Stegostoma tigrinum: one gene and its partner. The protein of the gene in region 2 purifies or fractionates together with the protein of the main gene of each other region. This does not show direct contact. Links are inferred from orthologs where the notes say so. Each region holds a gene or a part of one and is shown on either strand. Other genes may lie near its edges. The genes, in order: gcfc2 and hdac11.

What was found.
Region 1: the proteins of hdac11 (region 2) and gcfc2 purify together in Homo sapiens (co-immunoprecipitation; 3 studies listed by BioGRID and IntAct, counting the BioPlex papers as one, with this or other methods). This does not show direct contact. The link is inferred for Stegostoma tigrinum from reciprocal best matches to the Homo sapiens genes HDAC11 and GCFC2.

Annotation. Positions count from the first base shown.
Region 1 is NC_081357.1:74,077,005-74,087,133, forward strand, and holds the start of gcfc2 (GC-rich sequence DNA-binding factor 2), read right to left. Parts: upstream 4,133-10,129; 5' UTR 3,922-4,132; coding exon 3,642-3,921; intron 1-3,641.
Region 2 is NC_081364.1:26,226,605-26,236,909, forward strand, and holds the start of hdac11 (histone deacetylase 11), read left to right. Parts: upstream 1-6,218; 5' UTR 6,219-6,531; intron 6,532-10,305. UniProt on the Homo sapiens protein: Responsible for the deacetylation of lysine residues on the N-terminal part of the core histones (H2A, H2B, H3 and H4).

The DNA of each region.
Region 1 (10,129 bases), on a different chromosome or scaffold from region 2:
AACTCTCTTTGACTCCCACAGTCTCCAGGGAAGTTATCTGGCCTCTAAGGCTTGACTAAAAATTTCTTCCAGATAATTCTTCAACATTTGATTTCAATCCCAGCTTCTTTAAACTCTCTGTTCCATAGCTACTGACACCATCTCTCACCTTGACCACAGGCTGAAATTTAACTAGGCCATTTGCAACCTCAGTATCACACCTGACCACAAAATAAGATTCCAATATCACAAATCGCACCAGCACTAAAGACTGTCTATCTTCACCTCCACAACATCACCTGACTTCACTCAGTCTCTCAAATCCCCTTAATGAAATCCTCATTCAGGCCATTGTTACCTCAAGACTCAATTATTCCAATCTACGCCTCTCGGATCTCACACAGGACATCCTCTATAAATGTGAAAGTCTTGCTTTATGAATTCTCATCTTGCTTTTCAAATTCTTGCATAGCTTGCTCTCCCTAACTCGCCAGTCCCATAAAACAGATATTTGTGCTGCTCTAATTCTGGCCTTTTGTACACCTCCAATTTTGATTGTTCCATCACTGGTAGCAATGCATTCAGTTGCCCAGTTCCCAACTTCTGGAATACCCACCATGCTGCAAAAAACCTTGAGGTATTTACTGAGCTATTGCTATTGCTAGAGGAGCATTATTTCTGAATTTAGCACTATTAGATCTTCAGTATCTTATCCAGAGCTATGCTGTCACAGTTCAGAAGAAATAATGGCAGACTTTAAACATTAACTTTGTTTCTCTTTCCACAGATGCTGCCAAACCTGCTGAGTTTCTCCAACATTCTCCCTGTTTGATTCAGATTTCCAACATTTGCTGTAGTTTGCTTTTATTTGAATGTTTAATTCACTGCCGCTTCTCTTCTTAGACAGAAGTCACACAGCACCGGGTTATCGTCTAATGGGTTTATTTGAAACCACAAGCTTTCAGAGCATTCCACCTGAGAAGGGAACAGCACTCTGAAAGCTTGTAATTTCAAATAACCCTGTTAAGACTATAACCTGGTGTTGCATGACTTCTAACCTTGTCCACCCCAGACCGACACAGCACCTCCACATCATGGCTTCTCTTCCAGGAATGTCTATCTTGAAGTTCTGCTTTTGTCTCCATTGGGATTTCAGTTCTAATCTTTTGGCTTATTCACATTCTTTGCTTTCTATCTCTCTTCTGGTTTGGGATAAAGTGTTAACCAAAATGCACTTTCACAGCCACACTATCTTCCTCAGTGTCTGCCTCTGGTTCCACGTTACCCCTCACAAATTCCAATCGTTCTTCCCACTCTTCATTTTAACCCAACCAGGATTACAGGCATTTCCGAGACAGACAACGCTCCTCAGGTATATTTCTGAAAAAGGGTGCCAACCCGAAACATCAAATTTCCTGCTACTCTGATGCAGCCTGGCCTGCTGTGTTCCTCTAGCTCCACACTTTGTTATCTCCTCAAATATATGCCCCTCGCTGCATTCTGCAGTCCTGAAGGCTCGGCATGGTGGCTCAGAGGTTAGCATTGCTACCTTACAGTGCCAGGGATCCAGGTTCAATTCTAGTTTTAGGTGACCAGCTCTGTGGAATCTGCACATTTGCCCCATGCCTGCATGGGTTTCCTCTTGCTGTTCTGGTTTCCTGCCACAGTCTGAAAATATGCAGATTAGGTGAATTGGCCATACTAAAATGCCTTGTACTATCCAGGATGTGCAAGATAGGTGAATCCTCTGTCTCTGGGGAGAGGGTACTGGGTGGGATGGTCTTCAGAGGGTCAGTGCAGACTTGATGGGTCAAATGGAGTCATTGGGATTCTGTAATCCACACACAATGCGGTGTGCTGTCACATGCAAACTTGACCTCTGTCTCCATTAGCACTGACTCACCATCTCCCAGCTGTCCCAGGCTCCAGTCCGTTTCATGCTTCTCCTCATGTGAAACTTTAACAGGAAACTACCTGCCTTTCAATTGCCAAGGAAGAATGCCGAAGAATTCATACCAGATGAAACATTAACTCTCTTTCTCTCTCCACAGACGCTGCTGAACTGGAGTTTCTCAAGCATTCTCCATACTTGTCTTGACATTATCACTTGCTGTATTCTTTATAGAATACTCCTGATGGTGTATGCCCAGGCACAGAAATTTCCTGTTCAGATCTCTGTATATTGCCCATTCTGTATCAGAAGGTTTTGATCAGTAGAAAAAATGAGCCAATTTGAGTTCTGGAGAATTCAGGTAGATAGGGCACTGGTATTTGGATTGCAATTCCACAAAGCTGTCAACAGATTATCACCTTGAAGTATTAAGAAAGTTAATTGTTTCTATTTCGGATGCTGCCTGACCCAGGTTTTTCAAATATTGTGTGTTTTTAATCAACCTCTCCAATAGAATGAGAGATCTAATTGAGGTATATACGACACTTAAGGTAACTGATGAAGAAGATCAAAAGTAGTTTACTCGTGTGAGACAATGTACAACAATGAGTTTTAAGGAGTAGCAGAATTAAAAGAGATAAGAAGAATTACTTCTCACAACGAGTCATGAATCTGTGGAATTCATTATCTAAGACTGCAGTGAACTGTCAAGCTTCACTGATTTCCATTTGAATGTGTCTGGTTTTATACAATTTCTACAATTTATAAATACTCATTATCTAAGCATATTCCTTCAACAAACGAATCCCTAAAAATTTACAGGAGTTTCAAAAGTATGTATTAAAATGGGTAAAACCTGATCCTGAAACGCTGAGTGGGTAATCTATCTTGGCCTCCTTCTGAGGTGCCCAGCATTACAGATACCAAACTTCAGCCAATTCAACTCACTTCATACGACAGCAAGAAATGGTTGAAGGCCTTGGATACAGTCAAGGTTTTGGGCCTTGAGAATATGACAGCAATAGAATTCTGAACATTTGGCTGCTGAACTTGCCGCATACCTAGTCAAGTTGTTCCAGCACAGGTACAACTTTGACATCTACCCAATGTAGAAAATTGCCCAGATATTTCCTATCTACAAAAGTAAATCAGAAAAATCCGGAAACGTCAGCTTTTGTGCTCCTGAGATGCTGCTTGGCCTGCTGTGTTCATCCAGCCTCACATTTTATTATCTCAGAAAAATCCAAGTTGGCCAATTACTGCACTGAAAGTTTATTCTCAAATTCATTAGAATAATACCATATGGGAAACTGGTAAAAAACGTAAAAACTCATGGGATTCAAGTTAACTTGGCAAGTTGGATCTAGAATTACTGAAGTGACAGGAGACACAGTATGGTAGTGCAACACTGTTTGTGAGATTGGGACCCAGTAGCATACGACAGGGATGTGCTGTGTCCCTCATTGTATGTGATATTCATAAGTGACAAAAATGAGAATGTGGGGTGGATAAGAAGTTACGGATGACATAAAGATTGTGTGGTTGACTGAGGAGAAAGGCGTTAGGTTGCAGGAGAATATAAACAGATTGATCAGAAGGGCAGATAAGTGGCATATGGAATTTAATCCTGATAAATAGGAGGGATTACACTTTGGAAGAAGGAACAAGACAAGTATCCTCAATGAAAGGCAAGACACTAAGAAGCTCAGAGGAACAGATCTTAGCGTGCCTGCCCAAAGATACCTGACGGCGGACTAATATGCAGCATTACCTTCTCTGTCGTAGCCGAAGCTCAGCAGACTGAGGTCACAGTTACGGGTTTGACTGGTGTGCTTTGGAGCGCCCCATTCGACTACAGCTTCCTCGTTGCCACTGTCTGCTGAAGCTGAGCTGGGGCTGGCGGACTGGGCCCTGGCTAAGCCACAGGTTGGTGGAGCGAGTATGACTGCAGCCCTGGTCCTAGCTCCGGGCTGAAGCTGCTCCTGATCATCCTCCTCGCTGGACTCACTCCTCCTGCGGCGGAAATTCCGCTTCGGATTCTTTCCGAACATTCTAAAGACAATTACAGACAGAACACGGCACCCCGCAACGTTCGCGGAACGGACCGGAAAGGAGAGGGAATCTTCCACTTATTGATTGTAAGGGGGGGGTGTGAAGTATGACAAGGAATAAACATTTATCGCAAAGATTCCAGTTTAAGTTTCAATACCAACACAATACGTAAGTGAAGGCTAGAAATGCACGAGCAGTACTATCCTTTTTCCCATCAAAAGATAAACGACGTCCTGTTTTTAAAATCTCACCAAACATCAACCCCTATTAGATTCTGGGTTTGCTTGATATTTGTATCGAAAAGACTGGACGGAGTTCTTTTAAGAACTGTGGAGGGTGATTCAGAGATAACATAGCGAGGAGCTGGAGTAGAAAAGTGGGCCTTTTTCAGGAGGCCAAGCAGCATCTCAGGAGCACAAAAGCTGACGTTTCGGGCTTAGACCCTTCATCAGAAGGGTCGGACCCGAAACGTCAACTTTCCTGTTCCTCTGATGCCGCCTGGCCCGCTGTGCTCCTCCAGCTCCACATTGTGTTATATCTATGGAGCTGCAGTCGGCCAGGCAGCATCAGAGGAGCAGGAAAGCTGACTTGAGATCAGAGATAATAAAATGTGAGGCTGGATGAACACAGCAGGCCAAGCAGCATCTCAGGAGCACAAAAGCTGACGTTTCGGGCCTAGACCCTTCATCAGAGAGGGGGATGGGGGGAGGGAACTGGAATAAATAGGGAGAGAGGGGGAGGCGGACCGAAGATGGAGAGTAAAGAAGATAGGTGGAGAGGGTGTAGGTGGGGAGGTAGGGAGGGGATAGGTCAGTCCAGGGAAGACGGACAGGTCAAGGAGGTGGGATGAGGTTAGTAGGTAGCTGGGGGTGCGGCTTGGGGTGGGAGGAAGGGATGGGTGAGAGGAAGAACCGGTTCGGGAGGCAGAGACAGGTTGGACTGGTTTTGGGATGCAGTGGGTGGGGGGGAAGAGCTGGGCTGGTTGTGTGGTGCAGTGGGGGGAGGGGATGAACTGGGCTGGTTGAGGGATGCAGTGGGGGAAGGGGAGATTTTGAAACTGGTGAAGTCCACATTGATACCATATGGCTGCAGGGTTCCCAGGCGGAATATGAGTTGCTGTTCCTGCAACCTTCGGGTGGCATCATTGTGGCAGTGCAGGAGGCCCATGATGGACATGTCATCAAGAGAATGGGAGGGGGAGTGGAAATGGTTTGCGACTGGGAGGTGCAGTTGTTTGTTGCGAACTGAGCGGAGGTGTTCTGCAAAGCGGTCCCCAAGCCTCCGCTTGGTTTCCCCAATGTAGAGAAAGCCGCACCGGGTACAGTGGATGCAGTATACCACATTGGCAGATGTGCAGGTGAACCTCTGCTTAATGTGGAATGTCATCTTGGGGCCTGGGATGGGGGTGAGGGAGGAGGTGTGGGGACAAGTGTAGCATTTCCTGCGGTTGCAGGGGAAGGTGCCGGGTGTGGTGGGGTTGGAGGGCAGTGTGGAGCGAACAAGGGAGTCACGGAGAGAGTGGTCTCTCCGGAAAGCAGACAGGGGTGGGGATGGAAAAATGTCTTGGGTGGTGGGGTCGGATTGTAAATGGCGGAAGTGTCGGAGGATAATGCGTTGTATCCGGAGGTTGGTAGGGTGGTGTGTGAGAACGAGGGGGATCCTCTTGGGGCGGTTGTGGCGGGGGCGGGGTGTGAGGGATGTGTCGCGGGAAATGCGGGAGACGCGGTCAAGGGCGTTCTCAATCACCGTGGGGGGGAAGTTGCGGTCCTTAAAGAACTTGGACATCTGGGATGTGCGGGAGTGGAATGTCTTATCGTGGGAGCAGATGCGGCGGAGGCGGAGGAATTGGGAATAGGGGATCTCTTGATGACATGTCCATCATGGGCCTCCTGCACTGCCACAATGATGCCACCCGAAGGTTGCAGGAACAGCAACTCATATTCCGCCTGGGAACCCTGCAGCCATATGGTATCAATGTGGACTTCACCAGTTTCAAAATCTCCCCTTCCCCCACTGCATCCCTCAACCAGCCCAGTTCATCCCCTCCCCCCACTGCACCACACAACCAGCCCAGCTCTTCCCCCCCACCCACTGCATCCCAAAACCAGTCCAACCTGTCTCTGCCTCCCGAACCGGTTCTTCCTCTCACCCATCCCTTCCTCCCACCCCAAGCCGCACCCCCAGCTACCTACTAACCTCATCCCACCTCCTTGACCTGTCCGTCTTCCCTGGACTGACCTATCCCCTCCCTACCTCCCCACCTACACCCTCTCCACCTATCTTCTTTACTCTCCATCTTCGGTCCGCCTCCCCCTCTCTCCCTATTTATTCCAGTTCCCTCCCCCCATCCCCCTCTCTGATGAAGGGTCTAGGCCCGAAACGTCAGCTTTTGTGCTCCTGAGATGCTGCTTGGCCTGCTGTGTTCATCCAGCCTCACATTTTATTATCTTGGAATCTCCAGCATCTGCAGTTCCCATTATCTTTGAGATCAGAGATAATGGGAACTGCAGATGCTGGAGAATCCAAGATAACAAAGTGTGAAGCTGGATGAACCCAGCAGGCCAAGCAGCATCTCAGGAGCACAAAAGCTTAGACCCTTCATGGAGAGGGTTCTGAAATAAATAGGGAGAGGCGAACTGAAGATGGATGGTGGAGAGGAGAGTATATGTGGGGAGGGGATAGGTCAGTCCGGGGAGGACAGACACGTCAAGGAGGCGTGTTGAGGTTGGTAGGTGGGAAATGGAGGTGCAGCTTGAGGTCGGAGGAGGAGATAGGTGAGAAAAGAACAGGTTAGGGAGGCGGGGAAAAACTGGGCTGGTTTTGTTATGCCCTGGGGGGCGGGGACGAGCTGGGCTGGTTTTGGGATGCAGTGAGGGAGGGGGAGATTTTGAAGCTTGTGAAGTCCACATTGATACCATCGGGCTGCAGGGTTCCCAAGCGGAATATGAGTTGCTGTTCCTGCAACCTTCGGGTAGCATCATTGTGGCACTCCAAGATGGACATGTCATCTAAGGAATGGGAGGGGGAGTTAAAATGGTTCGTGACTGGGAGGTGCAGTTGTTTATTGCGAACCGAGTGGAAGTGTTCTGCAAAGCGGTCCTCAAGCCTCCGCTTGGTTTCCCCAATGTAGAGGAAGCCACACTGGGTACAGTGGATACAGTATACTACATTGGCAGATGTGCAGGTGAACATCTGCTTAATATGGAAAGTCGTCTTGGGGCCTGGGTTGGGAGTGGGGGAGGAGGTGTGGGGGCAAGTGTAGCACTTCCTGCGGTTGCAGGGGAAGGTGCCGGGTGTGGTTGGGTTGGAGGGGAGTGTGGAGCTGACAAGGGAGTCACGGAGAGAGTGGTCTCGCTGGAAGGCAGACAAGGGTGGGGTGGGAAAAATGTCTTTAGTGGTGGTATCGAATTGTAGGTGGCGGAAGTGTTGAAGGATGATGCGTTGTATCTGGAGGTTGGTGGGGTGTAATGTGAGGACAAGGGGGATTCTCTTAGGGCGGTTATTGAGGGGGCGGGGTGAGAGGGATGTGTTGCGGGAAGTGCGGGAGACACAGTTAAGGACGTTCTCGACCTCCGCGGGGGGGATGTTGTGGTCCTTGAAGAACATGGACATCTGGGATGTGCGGGAGTGGAATGCCTCATCCTGGGAGCAGATGCAGCGGAGGCGAAGGAATTGGGAATAGGGGATGGAATTTTTGCAGGAGGGTGGGTGGGAGGAGGTGTATTCTAGGTAGCTGTACTTTTCTGGTCCGGAATAACCAAGTGTGGAGCTGGATGAACACAGCAAGGCCAAGCAACATCTTGGATCCTTCTTCAAAAATGGAGGAGGGGAAGGGGACCCAAATACGTAAAGAGCGGCAGACGATGATAGAAGGTGGATAGTGGAGCGGATAGGTGGCAAAGAAGACAGACAGGTCAAGGAGGCAGAAATGAGAGCAGGGGCTGGTCCTGGGATGAGGTCAAGGGTAGCAAGTTTTTGAAGCTAGTAAAGTCCATAGGAGACCGTTGGGTTGTAGGGTTCCAAGGCAGAATATGAGGTCCTGTTCCTCCAGTTTCTGGGTGGAGTCGTTGTGACACTGGAGGAGAGAAATTAAAGAAAGCCTGTATAAAGCTAAGGTCCAGGGACTTTTTAGAGTAAGTCTTACAGATAAAGTATGCCCATCTTGAGATCAACTAGATTCTGTCTAGTCCAGGTCATTGCTGATGGAGTCAGCAATGGAGCATTACCTATAATTACTCGTAACATCAAGATTACTGAAACTATCCAAATCAGAAAGACCAACGTATCATGTACAACCTGTGAGTGAGTGCTGTTGTTCGCAATTCGATTAACTTCGTTAGACAAGGTTCTCCTGCTGGCAGGTAAATCTTGAATGGCTCCCTCCGGTGGTGAATACATCTGGAAATTGATGATTGGTGTGCAACGATAACCCATCGCTTTGCTTCATGCTTAATCAAGATTACCAGAAGATCAAAAGGCACTTGTTAATCAACACCAAAACAGATAGCACTAAAGTGGACTTATTAGGGCGACAGTGTGGAACCGGAGGAGCAGGAGTGTTGTTCTTTGGGCCCTTCTTCAGAAGTAGGGAGGGGGCAAGGGTGCTCACAAATAAATAGAGAGGAGGGGTGGGACTGGGGAAGGTAGGTGGAATGGTGATAGGTAAATGCCGGTAGGGAGTGGTGGGGATCGGTCAGTGAGGTGGGGGGGGGCAGATAGGTTGTGTCAGGTCAAGGAGAGGGAGGTTTGGTCATAGGATGAGGCAGAGGTGGATATTAAAACTGGTGAATTTCATGTTTAGGCCATCGGGCTGTTGGCTGGAGAGGCAGAATATGAGGTGCTGATCTTCCAGTTTGTGGGTTGCGACTTGGGACACAGGAGGAGGCCCAGGTTGGACATGTCTCCCAGGGCGTCGGAGTGAGACTTAAAATGGTTGGTGACCGGAAGGTGTTGTTTGTTGTGTACAGAGCACTGATGCTCTACAAAACGATCCCTGAGTCTACACTTGGTCTCACCAATGTAGAGGACGCCACATCGAGAGCAATGGATACCAAGTTGGAGGATATACAGGTGAACCCCTGTCAGGTATGAAAGGTTTGCTTTGGGCCTTGAATGGAGGTGAAGGGCGAGGTGTGGGGCAGGTGTAGCACTTCCTGTGGTTGCAGGGAAAGGTGCCAGGGTTGGTGGGGTTAGTGGGGAGTGTGGAGCAGATGAGGGAGCCGTGGAGTGAGCAGCCCCTACAAAAGGCAGATTGAGGCGGGGAGGGAAGTATCTCTTTGGTCATGGGATTGGATTGTAGGTAGCAGAGAATGATACACTGGATGCAGAGATATTTCCCTCCCCACCCCAATCTGCCTTTTGTAGGGACATCTGTTCCACACTCTCCACTAACCCCATCACACCTGACACCTATCCCTGCAACCGCAGGAAGTGCTGCACCTTCTGCTACACCTCTCCTATCACCTCCATTCAAGGCACAAAATAAACCTTCCATATTAGACAGGGGTTCACCTGCACCTTGTCAACTTGGTCTACAATATCCATTTCTCCCGATGTGGCCCCCTGTACATCAGTGGGACCAAGCGTAGACTCGGGGACCATTTCATAGAGCAACAAACGACAACACCTTCCGGCCGCCAACTATTTTAACTCCTCCTCTCACTCCCTGGGTGACATATCCGTCCTGAGCCTTCTCCTGTGCCGCAATCACACCACATCCAAACTGGAGGAGCAGCACCTCATATTTCACCTTGGGAGCCTACAGCCAAATGGCCAAAACATAGAATTCACCAGTTTTAAAATCTCCCCACCCCCGCTCTCATTCGCATGTCCAACCATCTCTCTCATCCCCACCTCCTTGACCTGACACAACCTGTCCATCTTTTTCCCCAACTATCCACCTCACCGTTCCCACTGACCAAATCCTTGTTACCCCCTACCTGCATTCAACTATCACCCACCGAAGCTACCTTTCTCCAGCTCCACCCATCCTCCCTCCTGCCTTCTTTACTCAACACAACCTGTCCATCTTCTCACCCACCTCACTGACCAATCCCCACCACTCCCTATCTGCATTCACCTATCACCAATCCACCTACCTTCCTCAATCCCACCTCTCCTCTCAATTTATTTCTGAGCTCCCTTTCCCCTCCCCATTTCTGAAGAAGGGTCTCGAACCGAAATGTCAACTTTCCTGTTCTTCTGATG
Region 2 (10,305 bases):
GGGAAACATTGTTGAGATTTAGCAGAATAATTGGAATGTATCCAGCAAAGTAAAGATTTTCCTCCACAGAAGTCAAACTCCAGGATTTAGTTTAAGGCAATCTATGAACCCGCAACATCAATAATATTAATAATCCTGGTTGCTGTTTGCTAAGTGCACCCATGATGTGCTTTCATGTCTAACTGAGGAAAAGTATTTGTGGGGAGAATTTGCTATCCTTTTAATTAATTTTTCCATCTGAGTGATAGCTTTGCAGATCTTTCAATACAAAGTTTGGTTGCTGTGAAATAGTCCACTGTTAGGATCAGCTCACATTAACTTACCATGATAGGACTAGTGCATATATTAAAATATAGCAGCATTAAAATTACTTCTTATAAATATTTTTAAGCATGCTATTTAAGATGATATAAAAAGATGATACTTGATTACACCCATAATATGGCAAAATATAATGGTTGACTGAATGTACCAGCATGGTGTGAGGTGATGGCCCGTTAATCCGGAGACTCAGATAAGGTTCTGGGGTCATAGGTTTGATTCTAGCCATGGCAGATGGTGGAATTTGAATTCAATACAATATCTAGAATTAACAATCAAATGGTGACTGTGAATCATTGTTGATTGTTGGGGAAAAACTCATCTATCTGGTTCACTAATGCCGTTTAGCAAAGAAAGCTGCCATCCTCACCCAGTCTGGTCTATATGTGACTCCAGACCCACAGCTATGTGGTTTGACTCTGAACTGCCCTCTGGGCAATTAGGGATGGGACATAATAAATGCTACCTAGCCAGTGGCTCCCTCATCCCGTTCATGAATTTTTAAAAAATCATTAAAATTGATCAGGATTTGAAACTGACATCATTTTGTTGTGTGACTAGCTAGACATTATAAGCCTGCATAACTCAGGAAATGACTCAATAGTTTACTTTTAAAACTCACCACATCCTGTCATATAATACCAACCTAGTCAAAAAAAGTTTACTCCATTGCTGATTTCCAATGTTTGACTTCTTTCATCCATTATAAAGAGGTCTTTACTTAAAAAAAGAAATGTTCGCACTATTTAATTAATTCAATTCTAAAATTCACTGAAAGAGAAAGTATAATGTAAAGCAAAGAGTTAAGAGACCAGGATAATGAAGGATACATGCAGCTAATGTACAAGCCAAAACTGAAGTGGGTTCCTAGCAACTTAGAAGGTTTATTATAACAGGCCTGAGCTGATAAGTGGTAGTAACATTCCAGTCAGATAAGTAACAGGCAACAACCATCAAGAGAGAATCTCATCATCTCCCCACGTCATTCAATGCCATTACCAGGGCAGAATCCCCCGCTTTCAATGTCTTGGTGTGACCAATGACTAGAACCAAATTTGGACCCATTCTATAAATAATGTTATTAGAATCCTTGATAATAAAATGTGAGGCTGGATGAACACAGCAGGCCAAGCAGCATCTCAGGAGCACAAAAGCTGACGTTTCGGGCCTAGACCCTTCATCAGAGAGGGGGATGGGGGGAGGGAACTGGAATAAATAGGGAGAGAGGAGGAGGCGGACCGAAGATGGAGAGTAAAGAAGATAGGTGGAGAGGGTGTAGGTGGGGAGGTAGGGAGGGGATAGGTCAGTCCAGGGAAAACGGACAGGTCAAGGAGGTGGGATGAGGTTAGTAGGTAGCTGGGGGTGCGGCTTGGGGTGGGAGGAAGGGATGGGTGAGAGGAAGAACCGGTTAGGGAGGCAGAGACAGGTTGGACTGGTTTTGGGATGCAGTGGGTGGGGTGGAAGAGCTGGGCTGGTTGTGTGGTGCAGTGGGGGGAGGGGATGAACTGGGCTGGTTTAGGGATGCAGTAGGGGAAGGGGAGATTTTGAAACTGGTGAAGTCCACATTGATACCATATGGCTGCAGGGTTCCCAGGCGGAATATGAGTTGCTGTTCCTGCAACCTTCGGGTGGCATCAATCCTTATTGACTTTTCATTGTTTTATTCTTTTATTAAGTTTGTATTATTAATTGAAAATGACTGACGTACTTTGGGACAGCTTTTTTATTTACTCTTCCATGGGATGTGGGCATCACTGACTGGGCCAACATTTATTGCCCATCTCTAATTGCCCAGACAGCAAGGTTAAGAAAATAAGAAACCGAGAAAGCTTTGTTTGTTAGACCAGGCCTGCTAGTTGCAGGCTGAGTCTTGATTAAAAGATTCTCACATACAATGTGCAGATTTCAACTGCTAGCTCTGAAAGGAAATTCCAAAGAATAATGACGCTCTGAGAGAAGAACTCACTTGCACGCAACCCCCACCCCACCACGGAAGAATATTGTGTTTAAACAGACAGCAGAAGTTGGTATTAACAAGATCAGTACATGGAACTTGGTTCCAGTAAGTCTGAAGGAGACCCTATGTTCAAGCAGTTGATAGCTGTTGAATGGTGACTGAAACTTCAGGGAGAGTTGATCAATCTGTTAGGTCAGAGCGACAATAAAGTTGATTCTTTACAACTGTGTTTTCTGAGAGATGGTTCTGAAAGGCTGCAAAGTCAGCATGAAGATTTGAAAGCTCTCTGCCTAATCTGATACACCAGCTTCCGGAAATCCAAAGAGCGGAAAGCTGATTTAGACACAGTGCTGCCTTTGCCTGGGTGAACAGAGAAGGAGACCCTGATCAATGTTTCATGGAAAACAGCCATGGAGTCCACATGTATGCTTGTGAACAATACGTCATAAAGGACATTTAAGTTACCTGGCCAGTTTTGTTACAGTCTTTTGTTTATCCCTTGACTGTGCTTATTTGTCTGTCAGTCTTTTGTGTGAATGGGGCTGAATGCTTCAGATTTAAAACACAGACATTAATCTGCTTACCCAGCTGTTTAATTTTCTCTCTGCTAGTGTTAATTTGTATTTAATAAACATGTCAATCTTCTATTTAAGATGCAAAACTGGTGTCTGCAAATGAATTATTCACAAAGTCTGGGATTGGTTATTCAAAAATCTGTTGGGGGACTACTGGAGTGACAATGTGGGGGCTTTGATGGTTTAATTCTACTGTGTTGTGAATGGAAAAGTTGAAACCTTGTTTTGGTTCAGTTGTCCATCTCCATGTCACAAAACTACGGCTACAAGGTCAGGTCAAAGGATGGGAATCCAGCAGTGAGTAACTGACTTCCTGTGGCCCAAAGTCTATCCACTATCTATAAGGGCAGAAGTTTAAAGGAATACTGACAAGTTACCTGGATAACTGCAGCTTCATTCACATTCAAGAAGCTTGACAAATCCAGGAGGATGCAGCCTGCTCGATTGGCACCCCATCTACCGTCTTAAATATTAATTCCGTCTACCACTGCTGCACAGTGCCATTTCCATGATGCACTATAGCAACTCCCCAAAGCTTGGGGACAGCACTTTCCAAACCTGCAAAATTTACCACGCATAAGGGCACAGGCAGTAGAAATATGGGAACACTACCACCTGCAAGTTCCTGTCCAAGTCATACCATTCTTGGAAATACATTATTCTTCCTTGAATGTCTCCAGATCAAAATCCTGGAACTCCCTTCTTGACAGCTGCGTGTGTGTGCACTACAGCATTTGGACTGCTGCAGTTTAAGGAGGCAAAACACCACCATCTTTTCAGGGGTAATTTGGGACTGGCAATAAACATCGATTTAACTAGCCAATCCAACACCCATGAAAGAATTTTGCAAAGACTGTTTTCACAGGAACAAAGAGGGAAACAAAAGAATTCCTTGTTCACATCAACAAGTGTAGAAAATATTTATCTAACTGGTTGCCTTTCAATTAGAAGCAGTATGGTAGAAACCATTGACAGTTATCAATAATTTTTGACTAAGGATTAATTATCATTAAATTATTATGAATTGTTGTACTCAATTCTAGGCATATCTGAGAAGTAACATACATTTTGGGAAGTGACACACTTCCCATAAATAGTCTTTCTGCTGAATCAAAATTTATTCTAAACCTGAAGAATATAATCCACATTCAATGAGAATGAGATAGTAGGAACTGCAGATTCAATGAGAATGGCTGTTGATAGAGTTTCTTAATTTAACAAAGGCTTACACCACTATTCTTAAAAATATAAATGGACGCTTAGAAGATACTTGGATAAGTACATAACAGGAACGGTTTGGAGGGATATGGGCCAGGCAGGTGGGTCTGGTTTAGCTTGGGATTATGTTCAGCGTGGACTGGTTGGACCAAAGGGTCTGTTTCCACGCTACTTGACTCTATGACTCTAAACAATTGAAGAATTAATTCACCATGACATCTGCCAAAGATATTTTGCAATTTACATTGGTCCTTTTCATGATTTTGAGCAAGGTAACTACTTAAGTGGGACACAATGACAAACATCTGACAAAGTGAAGACTGTGGATAACTTGCTCCACTATTTAACCTGTATCCTCTATCAAGGCTTCCAAGAAAATTTTTGTCTGCAAAAGATGCCAGTGTGAGACTCATCCAGATTATTTATCATGGCCTTTACATAATAGAATAGGTCAGATGACTCTCAACAGGCCCAAGGTGAGTGGAAGGGCTAAACTGTCTTGCAGATTTAAGACTGACAAGTGTCTCATTTATTCTAAACTTGATGGTTTGCTCAAAAATATCCGGCCTAAAGTTTCTCTAACTTGTTTAGAAAACTTATTTTCTTCTATTCCTTATGAAGTTCCTTTTGTATTGCAAAAAAATGGACTGAATGTTTGTTACTGACATAAGTAGCTTGAGTTGGGAAATTTCACTACTTGGTAGATCAGCCTTGCTGTAAACTGTCAGAATTATGATCCTGGCTGACAGTAACATGGAACAAGTCAGATCCCCAAGTCAGCTGAATTGATGAGGTTTTATTTTTAGAATCTATTTACTGTTATGGTAAACTGAACATAATGTTGTTGACTGGATATATTCACAAGAGGCTGCCAAGGTATTATTAAAGAAACATCAAAGTCTTTTAAGCAAAAAAAAACACTATATAAGAACTGTTTGTTTGAAATGGTCTTATCACAAATATCAAAAATAAAGATTCAACCCATTTATTGCCACCAACAATCTTACAGATACTTGAACTCAATGAAGGGTCACCCTGTTTCTGCTTTATTTTTCTTTGTTTAGTTGGAATGACTGTATTTGGTCACTTTATAGTAAACCTTTGCATTTATTCAATGCTATCTTCTTTAGATAATTTCTCTTCACAAGATTTCTGAAAAACTAACAGAGCTTACCAAGGAAGGGTCACTGGACCTGAAATGTTAACACTGTTTTCTCCCTCACAGACGCTGCCATACCTGATGAGCTTTTCCAGCAACTTTGTTTTTGAACACTTATTGCTTGAACTCATGCAATTACCAGCCTTGTGGAACATCTTCCTCTCTGACACACTAATGTCTGTTTCTAGAGTTTTTCTTTGATTAACTCTGATGCCTCTTGGGTCTTCTGATCTTTCTGGTTAGGACACTAGTAAACTAACAGCACCTAAAATGGTGGCTTTGGTGTTGAGGTGGTTTTGACCTGGCACCTGGCAACCAGGGATTCCATTGAGCAGTTTTTGTGGGACATTTTCCTTCTTGGGATTGATGACAAGATTGGTCCTTGGGATAGCTTCTGTGAAATTTGTGGCCTGGGACTCCAGTCGCCCACGTGGCCGTCTTGCAGTGGTACTGTCTTTTCTTGAACTCAGGAACTGGGAATTTAACCAAGATGGGTTTTGTCTTTTAAAAGTTTTTTTAAAAATTTTCTTATCTATGCCTTCTGTTATTAGTACAGGTGCCTAAGTGTGGCAATTTAAGTACGGCAATTTAAACACTTACTACTTATTTTAGATACAAGTGATGATAAATTACTGTTCTAAATGACCTTTGCTGCCATAGACCTGTTTCTCTTGGACAGAAACTTGCACACTTTCTAAACTTGTGAATTTCTCTTATTCTAAAATGGAACTTGTTTATCTCTATCTCTCAATATTATAGAACACCTTATTGTTAGGCAACAGACCAATTACTTTTGTCTCTTCTAATCTTTATTTTCTAAAGTACTTTTTAAAAAGCCGCACTTGCGTTCTGATAACTCGAAGATTTCATTGAACGGCATGCCCCCTCCCATACGTGTAAGTCAGCAGGCCGAACTTTGCGAAGGGCCGATCGGATGATATCAGAGAGCAGCCCCCTGCTTCAGCCGCCCCTGGTCCTGCTGACGTTGGGCTCTGCGCACAATCGGCGTGAGACGGTGCGTGATGAGGGAGCGTAGCGGCCGCAGCTTATTTACAGTAGAGCCTTCACCTTCAGCGCTGAACAGCCCGAGTATGACCTTTCAAAGGTAATACTGTGGAAACCAAGTGTTGGGAGCGCACATTCCTCTGCCCCTGCAGAGGGAGACGCGAAGCAGGAAACTGGAGTGAAGCCGCCGCTTCCTGGGGCTCTCTCCCAGCTGGAACCTGAACATTGCCAGGCCCCAAAAGCTCAGTTTCTGCACTTGCGAGGGTCTTGTGATTGACAGCGTGCGCTGTTGACAGGTACGTACTTATCTTCCGCTTCAGGGGCACATGGGTTTTACCTGGAATTGTCATGAGACCATTTGCTACAACGTAAATCGCCAATTATTTTAGACCTTGGGCGAAAAAGTTCAACTTGTGCGCAGATGTTGCGTTTGCAGTTCACTTCTCGATTTATGCTTTATATTGCATGTTTTAGGAAGTCACCTGTAGCATTTGAGAAGGACCCTAATCGGTAATGAGCAATAAACTTTTGGTTTGTACAAATAAGACTATAAGAAAGAAAAAGGATCTGATCTGATTGTGGCCTTATCTTCACGTTCCTCCTGTTTCCCAATACCCTCGACTCCCATTCAATTTCAGGAATATATCTATCTTGAATATATTGGGATTGCTTAGCCTGCACAGCCTCCTCGCTAATTACAAAGATTCATCCTTTGTTCTCAAAGTATGTCCCTTAGTCCTCAACCCCAATGAGTGGGTGTTTTCTGTCAATATCTACTGATTCAAGTCACCACAAAATATTGTGTTTCAAGATCATTGCATCCTCCAGAACATCAAAGTGTATGGACCTAACCTGGTCACCCTTTCCTTAGCTGACAATCTGCCCATGCTAGCAACCAACTTGAATGGAACAAAACTTTGTGAATTATAAAATATGTTTCAATGCCTGCCCCATATTACCTTGTTAACCTGTTTCTCTAGTCTGCCTTTGCCACCTTATTGTCTTTGTATTTGCCCCTACTTAAATCAAAGACCATTTCTGAGCAAATTTCTCAACCTCAAATTAAAGTGAAATGTGATATTTTAATGACATGGTTACTCTTACTGAGAGGATCCCTAACCAAATAATTAATCCTGTTTCATCACACATTACAAGATCTGTCAAAACGGCCAATCCCCTGGTTTGGTTTTGTTGTGACATTTTTTGTTCTAAGCTACTGTTTCAACTGAGAACGTGGCCTCAATCTTTGCTGATTTGATGTATTCAAACATGAAGATTAAAGTCACTCATGATTATTGAGTACCTTTCTCTACACCCCCATTTTCTTTGATTTATATTTGTGCTATTGTGTATCTGTTGTCCGGGGGCTGGTGCACTACTCCCGCTAGACACTCAGTTCCCTTAACAATTTTGAACATTGCCCAAATTTACTGTATATTTTGATGCTGTGAGCCAAGATCATTTAAATTACAGCATGAATCTCATTCATTTTTATTTTAAAAAGAACCAAACTTCCTGTTCCTTTGTTCTGTTCTAAAGCTTCAAGCTCTTCCACAGTATCGTCCTGCTTTGTCACTTTATACTGAAATGCCAGCAATGATTATCAGATCATATTTATCCATCCATCCATTTCTCCTTGTCCCATTAATTCATCCAATTTGTTACAAATGCAGTGTGCAATGAAATTAGGGGGCTTTAATTTCGTCTTTTTTGATATTTTTCATTGCTCTGACTTTTTTTTTCCTGGTGTCCTCATGTTTGTACTCTCTGTTCCTTCATATCACAGACTAGTTGACATTACCATGTCACTACTATATGTTACTGTCTTGATCTTTCTCTTCAAGTTTCCCCTCACACAAACTTGCTTCATCTCCTGCAGTCGATGCCTTGTACTATCTTTTGTTATCAGCTTAATTTAGCTACAGTTTATAAATTCGTTATAGCTCATGAAGTAGAAGACCAGGAAACCATGTTTCTTTTGGAAATGTGATGAACCTAGGGCTGATCACATAGCATTTATATCTCATTTGAGATGTCAGTGGTAGCAGTACTGGGAATTGCGAAACATATAGCGTTGTTGAATTTCTTTAAACAAGTGTGGGAGGAGGTGTAGGTGTGGGGAGCGAGTTTTGTTGAAATAAGTTGACATGAAGGCAATGGTCAGAGAACAAAGAGCATTGTCTATCATTTCTGAACAGATGAGATTACAGAAAATAACATAAAACCTTGCATGTTCTTTAAAACCTTCCTCTTAACAGCCTTTTGGTCATGTGTATGAATGTTTTTTACGGCTCAGAGTCAGATTTTGTTTGATAAGCTACAGTGAAATCTCTGGTCAGTTTATTATTTTAAAGAGGCCTTAAATGCAAGTTGTTGGCATGTCTGAGAATCATAATTGGGGATTTTTAGTGAGGTGAGCAGACGGTGGATATACTATAGAATTAAGGGACAGGAAGCAGAATACACGACTAAGTTCTTGGCCTCAAAATGGTGTAAGCAGATTTATTCCTAACTCTCTCTCTAAATTAATTATATGTAGACTTTGAAGGGAAACAAACAGTTTCATGGTTTTTAGGTAAAAGCAGGGAAGTGAGACAAATTGATTAGCTTGTCCAAAAACATGACAAAGGCAAGATGTGTTAAATTGCTTCTGTGTACAGTACAAGTTTTGAATTTTCTACAGATTTTCAAATAATGGTGATGTAATGGTAAGTAGAAACCAGAGAAACCTATCTTGTGGAATACCTAATACATGATTTTAATTTTCCACATGCACTTGGAGAAGCAAAACTCCTCAATTCATAACCATAAATATTCCTGACAGTGTTCTGTAAGAATTCTTTAGAATTGAATTTGCTGGAATGTAATGAAGCTATTTGATCAAGGAGCAGAAATATTCTATTTAGCCAGGCCTGCTTTACCATTTAAGATGATGATCACTGATCTAATTGTAGCATCAAATCCACATGCTCGCATACCGCTTATAACCTTTCGCTTCTTTGCTTATCAGATATCAATCCACCTCTGCCTTAAAAAGATATTCCAAGACACTCTCTTCCTGAAAAGGTGACGGAAGCAGTGCCAACAACCCATTACATTGAGACTTTTTTTTTGCTTCATCTCTGTTTTAAATGGGTGAGCCATAATTTTTAAACAGTGATCTATACAAAGAACAAAGAAAATTACAGCACAGGAACAGGCCCGTCGGCCGTCCAAGTCTGCGTCAATTGAGATCCTCTGTCTAAACCTGTCATCTATTTTCTATGGTAACAAAGTGTGGGGCTGGATGAACACAGCAGGCCAAGCAGCATCTTAGGAGCACAAAAACTGACGTTTCGGGCCTCGACCCTTCATCAGATCCTTTGCTCCTGGCCCATCCATGTATCTGTTCAGATACATCTTACAAGACACTATCGTGTCTGCGTCTACCCACCTCTGCTGGCAACGACTTCCAGGCATCCACCACCCTCTGTTCTAGTTTCTTCCATGGCAGAAACTTTCTCTCCGCTTTTACGCTGTGAAGACTCCACGGGATCTTGTACATTGAAATCAAGTCACCTCTTACTCTGCCAAAATTCAATGGTTATGAAATTGCTTCCAATTCTTCCATAATATTGCATACCACTATTCTGTAATATTCTTCCATAAATAAGCTGACCAGTACTATACGGTAATGCAGGTGCACTCCCATCAGTGCCCTATGTAACTGAAGTTGGGCCTCTCTATTTTTGTAATCACCTGTCCTTGCAATAATTGCTAACATTCTATGAGCATTCTTAGTTAGTATGCAATTACAACGAGTAACTTGTGGCATTCGTGCAGCGGGACTCCCAGATCCCTTTGCATCTCTGAGCTCTGCAAACTTTCACCAAATGAAAAATATGCTGCTTTTTAATCATTTCTGCTGAAAAGGACAATTTCACATTTTCTCACGTTATACTCCAATTTGCGTAATATTTCTCCAGTAGCTGATTGAAATGTCCTCTTTGCAATTAACCTTTCTACCTATTCTTGTGTGATCAGCAAATTTCTCAACTATGCTTTCCATTGCTTCACCCAAAAAAATCTGA